Diceros bicornis minor: one gene and its partner. Each later gene encodes a partner of the first gene's protein in a complex. Links are inferred from orthologs where the notes say so. Each region holds a gene or a part of one and is shown in the gene's direction. Other genes may lie near its edges.

What was found.
Region 2: PIGQ (region 1) and PIGH share a complex: the UniProt entries of both Homo sapiens proteins name them as parts of the glycosylphosphatidylinositol-N-acetylglucosaminyltransferase (GPI-GnT) complex. The link is inferred for Diceros bicornis minor from reciprocal best matches to the Homo sapiens genes PIGQ and PIGH.

What each region holds. Positions count from the first base shown.
Region 1 is NC_080765.1:47,745,240-47,753,336, reverse strand, and holds the start of PIGQ (phosphatidylinositol N-acetylglucosaminyltransferase subunit Q), read left to right. Parts: upstream 1-5,071; 5' UTR 5,072-5,151; intron 5,152-8,097. UniProt on the Homo sapiens protein: Part of the glycosylphosphatidylinositol-N-acetylglucosaminyltransferase (GPI-GnT) complex that catalyzes the transfer of N-acetylglucosamine from UDP-N-acetylglucosamine to phosphatidylinositol and participates in the first step of GPI biosynthesis.
Region 2 is NC_080763.1:16,254,962-16,263,140, reverse strand, and holds the start of PIGH (phosphatidylinositol N-acetylglucosaminyltransferase subunit H), read left to right. Parts: upstream 1-5,164; 5' UTR 5,165-5,219; coding exon 5,220-5,399; intron 5,400-8,179. UniProt on the Homo sapiens protein: Part of the glycosylphosphatidylinositol-N-acetylglucosaminyltransferase (GPI-GnT) complex that catalyzes the transfer of N-acetylglucosamine from UDP-N-acetylglucosamine to phosphatidylinositol and participates in the first step of GPI biosynthesis.

The sequences.
Region 1 (8,097 bases):
GAGCTGGCCACACCTCCATGCCCACCCAGGAATGGCCCCGGGGAGGGCAGTTCCTGCTTGTGCCTGGCTCCCCAAGCTGGGCCAGCCAGGCTGGGGCCAGTCACAGCAGGACCTGTGGCTCCCCCATTAATCAAGATGGGCAGCAGATAGTGCTGGCCAACCTTCCCACCTCGGGGCATTAGGAGGCAGCATCCAGAGCTGGGGTGCGGGCCGGCCAGGTGGGGAGCACTGTGGGTTGCAGACAGAGGCTGACCCCCTCCACCTTCCAGGGGCTTCCTGGAGGGGCTGCAGGAGGCTGGGGGCTAAGTTAGGAGTGTCCGGAAAATCCCCAGGTCCTGAGTCTGAGGGAGACCCACCCCTCCTCGGCCTCCTGTCAGCAACCCCACGTGTCTACTGCACCCCAATTTCTCATTAACCAATGGGCAGACATGAGCCTGGCCCTGCTGGGGGGCCTCACCCCAGCTTCACAGGTGCAGAAATGGGATCAGAGAGACAGGACCCAACCTTCCCAGTCTAGGGCTTGGCAAGGTGGACCCCCTGGGGTCCCCTAACCTGGACTCTGGTGGGTGACCCAGCCAGCAGGTGGGGGTGCAGCACCTTCTTCGAGGTCCTGACTCTGCAGTCCTGCTGGGGGACATCGGGTGGGGCTGCCTCATACACAGACGTTTGCTGGCGCCTCCTGAGAAGCAAGCCCACGAACTGCATTGCAGCGGATTGTGGCGGGCCCTGGGGGCCTCCTGGAGGAGTTGGCTGGCTGGACCCTGAGCGGCATCCAGCCATGTAGGGGCAGCAGAAAGAATGTCCAGAGGCCAGTGCAAAGGCCTTGAGGCAGGAATGTAGCAGCACTGAGGAGTCCCTGGGGGGTTAGCAGCTGAGTGACAGGACTCCAGAAAGCTGCCTTGGGCCACTGCTCAAACGTGGCCACGGCCGGAGTCCCGCCCACCCCCTCCCCCCCACCTGTGCCAGCTGCGTCAGGGCGGCTCCTCCCACTCTCTCAGGCTCTCATTTCCAACAACAGAGACTGCTGGTGGAGCAGGGCCCAGGGAACCCGGCCCCAGGTAGAAGACCCTCCCTTCTGGCCTCACTGGGGGTAGGGGCAGGCGGAGAGGCCTAGGAAAGGACCCCTGCCTCACCACTCAGGGTAGGAAGTCTCCAGGGGCTGTGTGGGGGCCACAGGCAGGGGCTTGGGCTGCCCCCAAGGAGGGTCACTTTCCTGCCTGATGGAAGAAAGGGTTCCGTGGACAGATGAATTTGAGAAGCACAGCTCGTCTGTCACCAACCACCCCCACCCCGACCTCAGGACGTCCCAGTGCCCGTGGGCTCATTCGGGCCTCAGAGCAAACCCACGGTGACATTCACGAGTTGCGTGTCTCCCAGAATTATGTTCCAGGGACCTAGAGACACAGCCGGCAGCTGGGCCTTCAGACTGGGCTGGCACTCAGGACCTGGTGGAACTGAGTTCAGATCCAGCTCCCCCTGCCTCAGCTTCCTCACCTGTAAAACAGGAGGACGCCAGCACTGCCTGGAAGGGCGCAGGGGATCCCTGTGGCCGCTGCTTGGCGTACAGTGGCTGTTATTTCTCTTGCAGCCCCAAACTTGGCCCAGCTGCGGGGACTCTGCTCAGAGAGGCTGAGTCTGTGATCTCCGCCTGCCTGCCTGCCCGCCCTCTGGCCTCCTGCTCCGACCTCCTGGGCCTCCCCTACCAACCGGCCACCGCCCCCAGGGCCTGCTCCTCATGCTGGGCCCGCCTGGAGACCCTGTTCACTTCCGGGGGTGCCAGCTGCTAGGGCGGATCCCAGTGCCCGCAGGGGCTGTGGGTGGGCCCCGGGGCCTGCACTGCTCCCTGGACGGCCTGCTCTTCCTGACGGCTGGGGCTGCACCCTGCATCCACATGCTGGACCTCGAGGGACGCTCCATCTGCCACCTGCCCTGACACATGCCAGGGGCTGGGGCCTTCGTGCCGGAGGATGTGGCTGTGACAGCTGCTGGGCTCGTAGTGGTCAGTGACCTCGTCCACGGAGCTGTGCACGTGCTCCAGCACACTGCCCGAGCCCCCTAAGGCCACTGGGTGACAGTGGGCACCTTCTTGGTCCCCCGGGGGCTGGCTGTGGATGCCCTTGGCCGCCTCCTGGTGGCGGACTACGTGCCTGGGGCCATATACAGCTTCACATTGGGCCCTGCCTTGGAGCGGCTGGCCCCAGCCTCCATGCTGGGTCTGGAGGACCCCTGCTGGGTGGGCCTGGGGCCTGACGGGGGCTTCACCGTGAGTGAGGAGTTTTGGGACGTGCAGCTGTTCAGCAGTGCCCGCCAGCCCCTGGGCTCCCTGGCGGGCCTGACGGGGCATGCCTTTGGCAGCCCAGCAGGTGTGTGCACCAACGCGGAGGGCAGCGTTATTGTGGTGGACGAGCAGCGGCGCCAGGTGACCCTGTTCCCCAGAGCTGGGGCGCCCATCTGCCTGGTGTCTGAGGGGCTGAGGCCCTTGGGTGTGGCCTGTGCGCCCCAGGTCAGCTCATGGTGGCGGATGCAGGGGATGGCTACATCAAGGTGTACCAGTACTACTCGGAGCTGGCCTGACTCGGTGGGCTCAGATGGAAGCAGCTCCCTCACGGTGCGTGGATCCCGGACCACCACGGGAGGAACATTCAGGGTTGCTGGGGTCCGGCAGGGCTGCTGGCCATGCCTTCCTGACCCTGCACATTTGTGACATTTGCTGAGCATCTACTGGGTCAGGCCCAGGCTGGCCCCCGTCTTCCTTGTGCAGTGTTCAGACTGTCAGCAGCCACGAACCAGCTGCCTCCCAGCCTCCCCCAAGACCCAGTTCAGTGGGCCCCGGTGCTCACTGCCCCCATGTCCACTCCGGCCCGGCCCGCTGGCTCAGGGCCTGGAAGGCCTGAGCTTTGGGGCCAGCAGCCGAAGCCTGGAGACCTTTGGCGTGTTGGGCTGGCTGCCAGCACTTGCCCAGGCAGGATCTCCCGCCAGGGCCCCAGGCCCGGCCTCCTAATCAGACAGAAGCAGGCAGGAGGGCGCGGCCCGGCTTGCCTGGGCTGGGCGGCCTGGGCAGGGGTGCGGCCCCTCACTGTCCCCCATCCTCAGAGGCGCCCCGGCCTTCTGCAGCTTCTCTGGGCCCAGCTGAGGTAAGGGGGAGGCAGGGGAGGGCACCTGGGGTGGCACGTGGCCGAGTGGGGATCCTCTCTGCCCCTGGTCCACGTCTCTTGTGTGAGGCCATCTCGCGGGCTGAGCCCTCATCTCCTCTGCAAACCAGGACCAAGCAGCTCCACGCTCATGGGTGGGGTGCTGGAGGGCGGCGGGTGGTGTCGAGTCCAGGAAAGCCTTCCCGTGAGGACAGACTCCTGCTGCTGGAGAAACCGGGGAACAGGCCCGGAGGGTGGGAGGTGCAGAGTTTCTCTGAGCCCGGGGTCGGCCGGCTCCTCGCTCCCGGGAGAGGTCATCGGGGGCCACCAGGACATTGCGGTCTGTGGTTTAGGCCACTGCGTCTGTCAAGGTCCCCCCTGTATGTCCTGGCCCCTGCAGGTGGGGATAAACTGGGTCAATATAAGGAAGCGTGTGCAGTAGGTGCTCAATAAAGGTTAGCTGTTGCTGCTGGTGTTGGGGTGTTATTCCCTGGAGCAGGAGGGGCCAGGGCCACGTCCTGACGGTCAGATCGGATGGCTGCAGCCTCTGGGCTGGCCCTCCAAGACCCAGCCTTCCTAGCCCACCTGGCCCTGGGGGGACCTGGGGTGCCCCTCTGCAGAGACCAGTGCGCGAGGGGGCCAGGATGGGGGCAGCCTGAGGTCGGAACCCTCGAAAGCCAAGTCCACAGGGTCCCTCAGAGGAGGAAACCGGGGGTGGGGGAGGTGGGGTACTGGAAGGCAGAGGTGTTGGGGATGCGGAGTCGACTGGAGTGGGGACAAGGATGCTGAGGGGGACAAGGATGCTGAGTGGGACAAGGACGCTGAGGGGGGACAAGGACACTGAGCGGGGACAAGGACGCTGAGGGAACAAGGATGCTGAGAAGAGACAAGGATGCCGAGGGGGACAAGGACGCTGAGGGGACAAGGGCACTGGGGGGACAAGGACGCCGAGGGGGGCGAGGACGCCGAGGGGGGCGAGGACACCGAGGGGGGTGAGGACGCCCGGGGGGTCAAGGACTCCAAGGGGCACAAGGACGCCCGGGGGGGGCAAGGACGCCGAGGGGGGCAAGGACGCCGAGGGGGGCAACGATGCCGACGGGGGACAAGGATGCCGAGGGGGACAAGGACACCAACGGGGGACAAAGACGCCGAAGGGGGACAAGGACTCTGAGGGGCACAAGGACTCTGAGGGGGACAAGGATGCTGAGGGGGACAAGGACTCTGAGGAGGGATAAAGTCTCCAAGAGGGACAAGGACGCCGACGGGGGGGACAAGGACGCCAAGGGGGACAACGACGCCGACGGGGACAAGGACGCCGACGGGGGGACAACGATGCCGAGGGGGACCAAGGACTCTGAAGGGGACAAGGACGCTGAGGGGGACAAGGATGCCGAGGGGGGACAAGGACCAACGACACCAAGGGGGACAAGGACGCCGAGGGGACAAGGACGCCGAAGGGGACAAGGACGCTGAGTGGGACAAGGACGCTGAAGGGGACAAGGTCGCCTAGGGCGACAAGGACTCTGAGGGGGGACAAGGACGCTGAGGGGCAGAAGGACGCTGAGGGGGACAAGGACGCTGAGTGGGACAAGGACGCTGAGGGGCACAAAGACGCTGAGGGGGGACAAGGACGCTGAGGGGGACAACGACGCCGAGGGGAACAAGGACTCTGAGGGGGGACAAAGGCGCTGAGGGGCACAAGGGCGCTGAGGGGGGACAAGGGTGCTAAGGGGGGACAAGGACGCTGAGGGGGGACAGGACTGCGCGCGGGCCGCTAGCTCCGGGGCGGGAACGCTGCGCGTGCGGAACGCTTGGGCGGGGCCGGCGGCAGCCCGGGCACCTTTGGGGCCGGACCGTCGCGCGGCAACCCTGGAGCCGGCGGAAATGGGCCTGGCGTCCCGCGGCGCGGCCGCGGCGGGCTGGGGGCCGCGAGCGCTGTCGTCCGCCGCGGCGCGTCCGACGCCGTCCCCAACCCCGTCCCGACCCCGCCGCCCGCGCGCGCGGCCCTGGGCGGCAGCCGGTGAGCATTCGGGGAGGGAGCCGCCGTGGCCCGACGCAGTCGAGCGGGCTGCCGGTCTCCGGGGTTCCTCCCGGGCCGCGCGGGCCTCCGCCGCCCGGAGCTTCTGTGCCCCCGGAAGACGGGGCTGGCGGGGGCCGCGGGCTGGGGGCCGAGACCGCGGCGGGCAGCGAGCGCCGCGGCGGCGGATCTGCGGCCGGGCCGCGGGTGCCCGCCGGGAGTCCGATGCCCTCACCCCGGCGGTGAGGGGCGGCTCCCTTCGACGCCCGGCCCGGCGGCGGGGACCTGTGGAAGGGCGTTCCGCCAGCACTTCCAGTCGTCCCTGACTGCAGTGAGGGCCAAAGACAGAGCCCTTCCTCACGTCCGTTCTTCTGAAACGAGGGGCAAGCGCTGTTGACCCACCGCGAGACCTCGTCCATGTCGTTTCAACGCAAACCACATGGAGGGGGATGGAGCACTCGTGCGCTCCTGAGACGCAGTGCGGGGCTCTGAGGAGGGTTCCGCCTGGGAAGCCCTGGCGGTGTGGCGGGGCTCCCCCAGAGCCGGTCCGTGGGGGATGAGAGGGGAGCAGCCTCCCCTTCTAGGGTCAACTCGACCTCAGGATCTGCGGGAGGGGCGCCCCGAGTCCCGGGGGCCTGACGGATCCGGGAAGGGGCCGGTTCACACTTGGTGTTGTTCTTAGCAGTACCTTTGTTTTTTTATCAGAGCCTTTAAAGATGCGCATGTTGCTGGAGTCACTGCCCGCTCCCCCGCCTGCACCCTGCTATCGATCGCCTGCTCTTTCATCTTCTGTCTGATCTGCGCGGGCTTCTTTGTGTTGGTCGCTCCCAGAGGCTGAGGCGGGAGTGGGGCTGGGAATTTGCTCTGTAATTTGTTAAGAGTTCTCTCTCACTACCCCAAGGACAAGAACGGCAACTTCTGCCCTCCGCTCTTCTTTAGACGTGAGGAGCTGCTGCTTTTTTTGGGGGGGGGGGTAAACTTTGTAGATGAAGCGTAATACACACAAAGTGCACAAAGAGTATGTGTACAACTCGACGAGTTTTCCCAAAGTGAACACACCGTGTAGCCTGCTCCCCAAGAGCATCTGTTCACACTTAGGCCAATTGTGTTTCTTTTCTGACAGTAGCCGTGGGCAGCTTTCCTTATTAGCTCCTGTGAAACGAGTCCCCAGGCAGAGTGTCATGATGTCATTTGGCTGAGCTGGTGTGTCCCGACAGGCTGAACTGAGAGGCTTGGACCGTGCTGGCTGGTCCCCCGGGGTGGTCACCCAGCCAAATGCACCAGGTCTCTCACAGGCAAAATTGTTCTCTCTCTCTCATGATGCCTTATTCCGGAGGACGGCCCCCGCAGAAGGGTTGGGAAGACACGTTGGCCCTTGATGCCCTTGTTGATGGCCGCAGGGATTCTGCCCGCGCTGCTTTCGGGCTCCTTTCGGGCTCTGGGCCTTCCCCTGCTGGCACCCACTGTTGCTTGCCCTCTCTGGTCGCTGGGGGGGCAGGGCATTTGGGAGTCCTGCTGCTGCTTGACTCAGAGGGACCCTTTTCAGTTGGAACCCACGGCCGCAAGAGGTCCCTTTAACAAGCTGGCTGGAGAGGCCTCAATCCTGCAATCCCCATTTGGGCTACTTGCAGTGGAGGAACGCAGCTGCCCTGGTGGCCTCTTAAGCCCTGGTGTTGGTGAGGCCCCTCCTAGGGCCCACTGACCCTCAGGAAGGGGCTCCCTGCACCTCCCGCAACATTGCACCATCCCAACGCGAGTGTCCCTCTCTGTCCCCTTGTCCCTGAGGGCCTGGTGAGCACTGGGAACAGAGGCCTAGGCTCAGTCTGAGGCCTGTGCCCCTCCCTCAGGTGTGGGCTCCAACGTGGGGTCTTAGTTCAGGGCGGCTGCTCTGTCCTTTGTGCCAACAAGGTGGGGGCAGTCAGTGTCTGAGAAACGCGTGCTCCTAGGCGAATCCACTCAGCGCCACACTGCCCGTCAGGCCCCGTCTGGGAGGGGCTCAGGGAGGAATGAGGTGCTTGCTGAGAAGCCCACATCCCCAGTGAGCTTACTTCTGGACAAGCCAAGGCTCAGGGTCCCGCAGAATTCAGGCATCCCGGCTGCTTAGGGCCGTTCTTGCTGCTCAGAGTCCACATGAAGGTCGTGAGAGGCCAGGAAGCCTGGCGTCCCCTCAGCCTGGTGGGATCTTGCCACTCTCCAGGGCCTGCGAACTTCCCACCCCCATTTCTAGATAGCTACCCGGTGGGAGGAATGCTCCTGAAGGAGGCACTCAGCTGTGACAAGAGGACACTCCCCTGCTGGGAGCCCTGCCCTGAAGTGGCAGACGGATGGGCTCCTGGGAAGGGTGGGCACTGCCAGAGGCTGGAGGCCTTGGGGGTCGGAGAGAGGCAGAAGCCGCCTGAGAGCTGAGAGCCCAGAGCTGAGCCTGAGCCTGCTCCCTGGGCACTGAGGCTCCTCCAGGGGCCCACTGGGCAGGGGCGGGCTGGGGGCACCTGCACCAGTGCCCAGGGCCGCTGGCAGTGTGCACGTGTCTGGTTTCCCTTAGCTGGCAACAATTTATTTAAATTTTCATCTTTATTCTTGCTAGCTTTGTAAGTAAATCAAGGTTCGTTAGAGTTTGAATTTGCATTATTTTAATTGTTAATGAGATCCTATGTCTTTCCATGTGCTACACATTAAAAATCCTAATCAGTTTCCTTAGAAACAACTGAAGCCCTCGTGTTCAGTGCGCACACCCTGTGAGTGGTCCTGAGCAGGTCGTGTAACCTCGTCCTGCTTCATCCTGCTTGTCTTTGAAATGAGGGAGTGTGTTGACCTGCCTCGGGGTGGGGATGGGGGCGGCTTGGGGCTGGGCCTGCGCTCACAGCAGCTGGGGTAGAGGTGTGGGTGGTGCCCATGTGAGATGGACAGCTAGAAGGCGCCCACCAGCCTCTGACCAAACCCAAAGCTGGG
Region 2 (8,179 bases), on another chromosome or scaffold:
CTCATCATACCAAGAAAACAGAAAAATCTCACCTTGAATGACAGTAGACAATCAACAGATGCCAATACCAAGAAGACATAGATGTTAGAATTATCTGACAAGGATTTTAAAGCAGTCATCATAAAAATGCTTCAACAGCAATTACAAACACACTTCAAACAAATGGAAAAATAGAAAGTCTCAGTAAAGAATAGATGATATCAAGAAGAACCAAATGGTAACTTTAGAACTGAAAAATATAATAACTAAAATAAAAAACCTCAATGTATGGGCTCATCAAAAGAATGGAGAAGACACAGGAAAGAATCAGCGAACTTGAAGATAGAACAATAGAAATTACCCAATCTGACCAAGAGAAAGAAAATAGACTGAAAAAAAAAAAAATGAACAGAGCTTCAGGGACCTATAGGGCTATAACAAAAAAAGCCTAACAATAGTGTCACTTGAGTCCCAGAAGGAGAAGAGAAAGAGAGTGAGGCTGAAAAAAAAAAAAAAAAAGAAGAAATTATGGCTGAAAATTTCCTAAATTTGGCAAGATCTAAACTTACAAATTCAAGAAGCTGAGCAAACTCCAAACGGGATAATTCCAAAGAAATTCATGCCAAGATATATCATAGACAAACTTCTGAAAACTAAAGACAAAGAAAAAACTCTTGAAAGCAGTGATGGAGAAACAACACCTTACCTATAGGGGTAAAATTATTCAAATGACAGAGATATCCCATCAGAAACCACGGAGGCCAGAAAGAAGTGGCACAATATTTTCCAGGTGCTGAAAGAAAAGTGTCAACCCAGAATTCTATATCCAATAAAAATATCCTCCAGGAATGAAGGGGAAATCAAGACATTCTCGAAGGAAAACTAAGAGAATTTGTCACCAACAGACCTACCTTAAAAGAATGGGTAAAGGAAGTTCTCTGAGCAGAAAGGAAATAAGAGAAGGAATTTTGGAACATCAAGAAGGAAGAAAATGGGCCAGCCCCGTGGCTTAGCGGTTAAGTGCGTGGGCTCCGCTGCTGGCGGCCCGGGTTTGGATCCCGGGCGCGCACCGACGCACCGCTTCTTCGGCCATGCTGAGGCCATGTCCCACATACAGCAACTGGAAGGATGTGCAGCTATGACATACAACTATCTACTGGGGCTTTGGGGGAGAAAAAAATAAATAAATAAAATCTTTAAAAAAAAAAAAGGAAGAAAAAATCGAAAGAGCAAAAATATGAGTAAACACAATAGACTTCCTCTCTCCTCTTGAGTTTTCTAAATTATGTTTGATGGCTGAAGTGAAAATTATGCCACAGTCTGATGTGGTTCTCAATGAATGTAGAGGAAATATTAAGGCAATTATAAATGGGGTAGGATCCACATCCACATACTGGCAGGGTGACGAACGCCAACTCCATGGGGACAGAAACTCCTGCATTCAGGACCCTCCCATACCTCACCTTATGTATCTCTTCATCTGTATCTTTTATCATATCCTTTACCATATAATAAACTGGAAAATGTGTTTCCCTGAGTTTTGTGAGCTCTTCTAGCAAACAATCAAATCCAAGGGCATGGGAACCTCCAACTTGTAGCCATATCAGACAGATGTCGTGGGGAACCTGGGGACCTACTACTTGCAATTGGCATCCAAAGGCAATTGGCATCTGAATTTGTGGGGGAAGTCTTGTTGGACTGAGCCCTTAAACTGTGGGATCTGACACTATCTCCAGGTAGATAGTGTCAGAATTGAGTTAAATTGTAGGACACCCAGCTGGTTGTTGGTAGTGTGGTAGTAGTGTGAGACTAAAGGAGAAACACAGGAGGAAGACTTTTTTCTAATAAAGTCGTGTATATATAATATAATACCTAGAGCAACCACTAAAAAAGCTACACAGAGATACACTCATAAACACTATATGGATAAATCAAAATGGAATTCTAAACAAGATGAAAGGTGTTATATCTATCTTTTTAAAACCCTATTTAGTTGGAATTTTTTACTTATATGGGCCTTTACTTTTTCTCCCCATGGGTTAAGTGGCCCTGAAGACGAGACTCACTCTCAGTTAACACAATAGCAGCACTCATGAATGCTGCATCATAAAAAAGTATATAGAATAAAAATTACAGTATAAGACAGTATTCTTAGAACAAGTACTCAATCCACAAGTGTAAGCAAATACTAAAAGAAGTTTCTAAAGAAGAGTTTTAAGAACCCAGCAGGGGCCATAAAAGTAAAAAGTTAACTGAATTCTTTCATTAGATTTTTTCTTACTATTCATACTGATAGACATTCAGGTTCTAAGAATAACTTCAACTGTAGAAATAACTACCCATCTTATCAAAAGTAAGTCAGATTACTGTGTACTGCCTGTGTACTGCCATCACAATGCTCCATGCACTCAAATATATTCCCTGGTTCTTGTAGCCAGAACTCTGGAAAGCGCAGCAAAGACTGGCTAGTTATTCACCAAATCGTTTCTCTTTCCCCACTAGGCATACTGACAGACCGTGTTTCCCAGCCTCCTCTGAAGTTAGGTATAGCCATGTTAATGGGTTCTGGCCCAGTGGAATGTGGGTGGAAGGCTCTGCCATAAAACCATCCCATGCATGATCCTCCATTCTTGCCCCTCATCTGTTGGCCAGATGTAAAGGATCCAATGGAGAGGAACATAGGAGGCCCCAAGGAAGGGTAGCCACTAGATAGAAGGAGACTGGGTCTCTGAATCACCACTTGGCAAAAAATTATGAGTCATTTGACCAGGAGCACCCAAGTGGAACAGCATACAGACAATAAATAAAAATTTGTGTTAAGCCACTGAAATTGTGAGGTGTTTGTTTTTAAATAGCAGTTAGCCTACTTTGACAAATACAAGCGTACACATGTTTCTCATGCTTCCTTTCTCTGCTTCTCCACAACTGAATTCACTAGAGAATTAGTTGTGAGACTCCTTCAGTGACCCTGCAAAAAGATATCAAACCTCCTTGGAGAAACTTGCCAACTGCTAAGTCTAAGTTCTTTTCATTAGCTGCACTTCGTTGTTGACATATTCCACTGAACTTGTGAGTCTGGGGAATACTTTGGAATCCAACATTGAGAGCTAAAAGAATCACTCCTTGCTGTTTTTACACAGTCATGGTCAAGAGAGCTTGTCACTTGATTTCCCAGTTGGCATCTAGGTAAATGGCAAATACATAGGTTTCCATTTCTACTGAGGTGCCAAACTGCATAACAGAGTTAAGATGACGCTGTGATCTGACAGAGCAAAGCAGTTATAAAGATTTTGGAATTACATTACCACACTATCCCAAATTATTTAAAAAAGTAAGTATATTTAGGTGTCTTTTTTTCTATCTATGACTCTACAGTTGTGAAACTTCTGAGCCTGCACAGGTTCTTGAACTTTTTTGTGCCACAGACCCTCCGTAAGTCTGGTAAACCTAAGGGATTCCTTATCACAATAATGTTTCAAAATGAACAAATACATAGGAGTACAAAGAAAACTGAATTAAAATATAGTTATCAAAATATTTTAAAAATGTTATAGTTATATGTGTCTCCATCGACACATTAAATAACAAGACCCTAGTAGTGGGTCTAATAGTTACTGCAATTTTGAAGTAATGATGAGTGGAAATGACACTTTGATATAACTAACAATTATTATGAAATGAAAATATCTGTGATTTCTATTGGTGACAAAAATCACAAGTATTACTAATTGGTTTGTTGCTACATTCATAAGCAAAAGAAATGCTGAATTTCAATTAGAAGTTAATGAAACGAAAGATGAAATTTTGATTTTATCCATGGAGCCCAGGTTAAGAACTCCAGGACTAGAGGTTTCCCCAAAACATCGATAGTGCTTATCTCTCGTGGAAATATGGGTGGTTTAAATTTTTCTTCTTTTCTGTATTTTTCAAATTTTCCACAATGAGCAAACATCAGTTTTATAATTACAAAAACCATCACATGATATTTACAAAAATGAGAGGGGTGTATTGCTTGGTAAGTTTCAAGGTACAGAAATAAAATTGGGAAAACAAAGCAATATTTGAAGAAAATCTTTTAGAAAAAAAGAGGGGAACAAAATTCTGGGTGAAAATGGAGAAATTAAACCTGACTTTCATCAGCGAGATTTAAAGCTGGTGAGACCGTTATGACATTTATCTTCATACACAAACGGATCAATTCTTCAATACATGATGCCGCCTCAGGGCTGAAGCACCATAACTCTTTTAACAAGCCACACAACCACTCTCAGGTCACATCCGAAGTAAAAAAAAAAGGGAACTCACAGGCTGCTATTACTCATTTTAGTAATTTTATTATCCATGCCGTTTGCATCTTCCACTTTTGCTAAACTCCCAGCCAGGACTTGTCTGCCTACTCAGTGCTCCACGCGTGGTTTGGGAAAGAGAAATCCCAGGCAATGGAATCCAAACTCCTTACCAGGCCCCTACAAGACCCTCCTGGATCTGACCCCTACCTGCCTCCCCAGCTTACAACTGCATTCCCCATGCGTCAGCCTCTCTGACCTTTTGATTCCTCCAATAAGCCAACCTTGTCCCAGCCTCGGGGGCTTTGCCTTTCCTGGTCCTCCTTCCTAGCAAATTTCTCCTCCAGAGCTCCCCCGGACCAGTCTGGCTCCTCATCCCTGTACTCCAGTGTCTTTCCTCATAGAGACTTTCCCGACTGCCCTATCGAAAGTCCCCAAGCCACCCCCGCCGGTCATATTATTGCCAACAGAACTCTCTGAAATTATTTCCATATTTCTCTTACTAGGAAGGAAACTACTCGAAAGCAGGAACCTTGTCAATATTGTTCACCTCTGAATCCTCAGCACCTAAAACTACCTGGCGCAGGAATGAGTGAATGAGTACGTGGAACGAATGAATACCTGTGGACTGTCTTCCTGGGGCGCACTCTGCCTTAGAAACAGAAACCAGTTTGTCGAGCAAAATCACGTTAATAGCAGTTTTAACCTGACCGCTGAATTGTTGGCCCCCTACGAACCTCTAGAGCAGACAATCATAGAATCCTGGGCGAGCCCAGGCGCGAAAACAGAACCCCGAATACCCTTCCACGGCTGTCGGCGTGCCACTGCGGCTGCGCGGAGCGTGGGGAGGGGGCGTGGCCAAACCCGTTCTCCGGAAGTGAGTCCAGAGCCGGCGAGAGGACGCGGCGGGCGGGCTAGAGCGGCGCGGCCTGACCGTATGGGGGCGAGCGGGTCATGGAGGACGAGCAGAGCTTCTCGGATATCTGCGGCGGTCGCCTGGCTCTGCAGCGCCGCTACTACTCCCCGTCCTGCCGGGAGTTCTGCCTCAGCTGCCCTCGGCTCTCGTTGCGCTCGCTCACTGCTGTCACCTGCACCGTGTGGCTAGCGGCCTACGGACTCTTCACCCTCTACGAGGTAATGGCCGGTCGGCCCCTTCCCGCGGTCGGAGTCGGGGGCTTGGGTTTGGAAGGGTCTTTGGGGTCTTAGTGGCGAGCCCGGACCTCTCGTCGGACCCTCCTAAAGTCGTAGGGCCAGAGGGCGGGAACTCGCTGGCCCCGGGACGCCATTCGCTGCTCTTTTCATTACGTTGAGCGAAGTTTGTGCTTCTGTACTTTACACTTCTCCGGGGTCGCCGCTCTGCTCTGTGGCTCCACTCCGCGTACATCTAGTCTGTGCACGACAGGCTAACTTCCACGTGCCCTATATAGTCCATGCTCACAGTAACTCAGTTCCAGGAGTTCAGAGAACTGTTAAGTGGATCGTACTCGTCCATCTCTTCCACTCAGAGGTATCACTGCTAACAATATCTTATATAGTCTTCTAGAAACTGTCTTTGCCTCCAGAATGTGTGTGTGTGTCACACATACACACAAGGTATTTAAGAGCTTGATAGCAGCTTTTATACTTCTTCGTAATCTTTGTTTTTCAAGGCAGCTTACCCTCCCTTCACAAACCCCTTCGCCAACTTTAAGTACTTTCTAAAGAATTATGAAATTTCTGAGATGGGTGGTTTCTGTGCTCAATTTTCAGACTCATTCCTATTTTCTGAGCGTCAGTTTTCACATCTCTAAAGTGGAATTAATATCTGCCATGCCACCTTCACAGTATTGTGAGGGTCACATGCAGGAGCTTTGTGACAGCCCTCAAATAAAAAGAATGATCCTAATTGCCCTTTTCGGAATGAGTTTAGTTTCATGTGTGGTACCCTGAATTGAATATATTATTCTAGGAGTGATCTGACCAGAGCTAAATGCAGCAGGATATTTGCATATTGTTTCCATTACTGCATCCGTTAGCTTTTTTGCCATCAGAGCATATTTTCAGAGCGTGGTAATTTAGCATAGATGTATGCAGAATTAAGACTGCCCTAATTTGTACCAAATTGTATCTAAAAGTTTGTTCATAAGTCAGTTGAAATGGCTAAGTTGCCAGGACAGTCCTTCCCCCTCCCACAAAAAAGATTTAATTTATAATATAGTTGAATTTTAATACTAACTTGTTCTGGCTCATGTGAGGAGGAGGGAACAGATATTTATTAAATGCCCACTACATGCCAGCTGCTTTACTGAATGCCCCATTTCAACCTTAGAAGAAAACCAAGGCTCAGAAAGAATGAACTTCTCCGAAGTTACAAAGCTAGTAGCATACCTGGGCTTCAAACCCAGGGCTGTCTAACTCTGAAACCCTTTCTTTTCTACCATATTATGATGTCTCCTCCTTGGGGAGGACTTGCTTAGACAAAATTTTTAATTAGGAGAAGTTTGTTATTAATCCACCTCCCTTTTGTACTCATCTCTCTCATCGTGGTATATCCCACTTACCCCCATCAAGTGCCTAGGACTCAGTAACCTCATCTTCCTTTAAACTCCACTGCAACACTTCTTAAGGGCTCTGTGTACCAAAATTCTTATCTTTCCCCCTATTCAAAACTGTTTGTCAGAGTAATGAATCTCAGCTAGGAGTGAGAAGAAATCTGATGAAGGAATTCATTAAAACATGTGGCTTAACTTCAACCCAGATGAATATTGAATTGTTAGAATTTCAGACAGAAAAATGAAGTATAAAAAATGCAGGTAGTAATGAAGTTTTGGGCAGAGATTACCATATTAAAAAACTGATATGAATCAAATCCCCTAGACATTTACTGCTCTTCATCTCTTCTTGCCCTCCAGTTTTTTTTTTTTTGTGAGGAAGATCAGCCCTGAGCTAACATCCATGCTAATCCTCCTCTTTTTGCTGAGGAAGACCGGCTCTGAGCTAACATCTATTGCCAATCCTCCTCCTTTTTTTCCCCCAAAGCACCAGTAGATAGTTGTATGTTGGAGTTGCACGTCCTTCTAGTTGCTGTATGTGGGACGCGGCCTCAGCATGGCCGGAGAAGCGGTGCGTCGGTGCACGCCCGGGATCCAAGCCCGGGCCGCCAGCAGCTGAGCCCGCGCACTTAACCGCTGCGCCATGGGGCCGGCCCTCCCTCCAGTTTTTGAATTCACTGTTCTATTAAAATTCCAGGTTTTTTCCTTATTTATTCCAATATGGAATGTTCTCCCCCCTTCCTTTTCTCAATTTAGTATATCTGTCAATAACCACCACCTTCTCTGCACCAATTAAATTCTGCTTCCTTGGAAGTCTTCATAGGATGTTCCTGTGTGCTTTAGTCTTTGTCTTTCTGGCTCTCTCTTTTAATCCTTTCTTAGGCATTTCAGTCAGTATCATAGTATTCTCCAGAAGTATTTTATATGTATTAATCTTGCCTCTAATAAATCTCTGAGGGCCAGAACTGAATTTTATTTCTCTCCATTCTTCCATAATGCTTTCAGACTATGTACAAGACACTGTACTAGATACTAGGCATTTAAGTAACTCAAAGTAGATATTTCTGGATCATCAGAGACGCAGCACATAGATTTCTCCATCCCCCATTCATTAATCAGCAACTAATTATCTAGCACACAGGTCAGCAACCTTTTTCTTTAAAAGGCCGAATAGTAAATATTTTAGACTTTACAGGTCTCTGTCTCATATTTTTCTGTTTCTTTTTCTTTTTTTTAACAACCCTTTAAAAATTGTAAAAAGCATTCTTAGCTCAAGGTGAACCACAGGCCCAAATAGTTTGCAGACTCCTGATCTAATACTATGTGTTAGGCAGAAGAAAGTAGAAAGGTACTGTCAAAGAAAACCAGAGCCGGTCAGTAAAG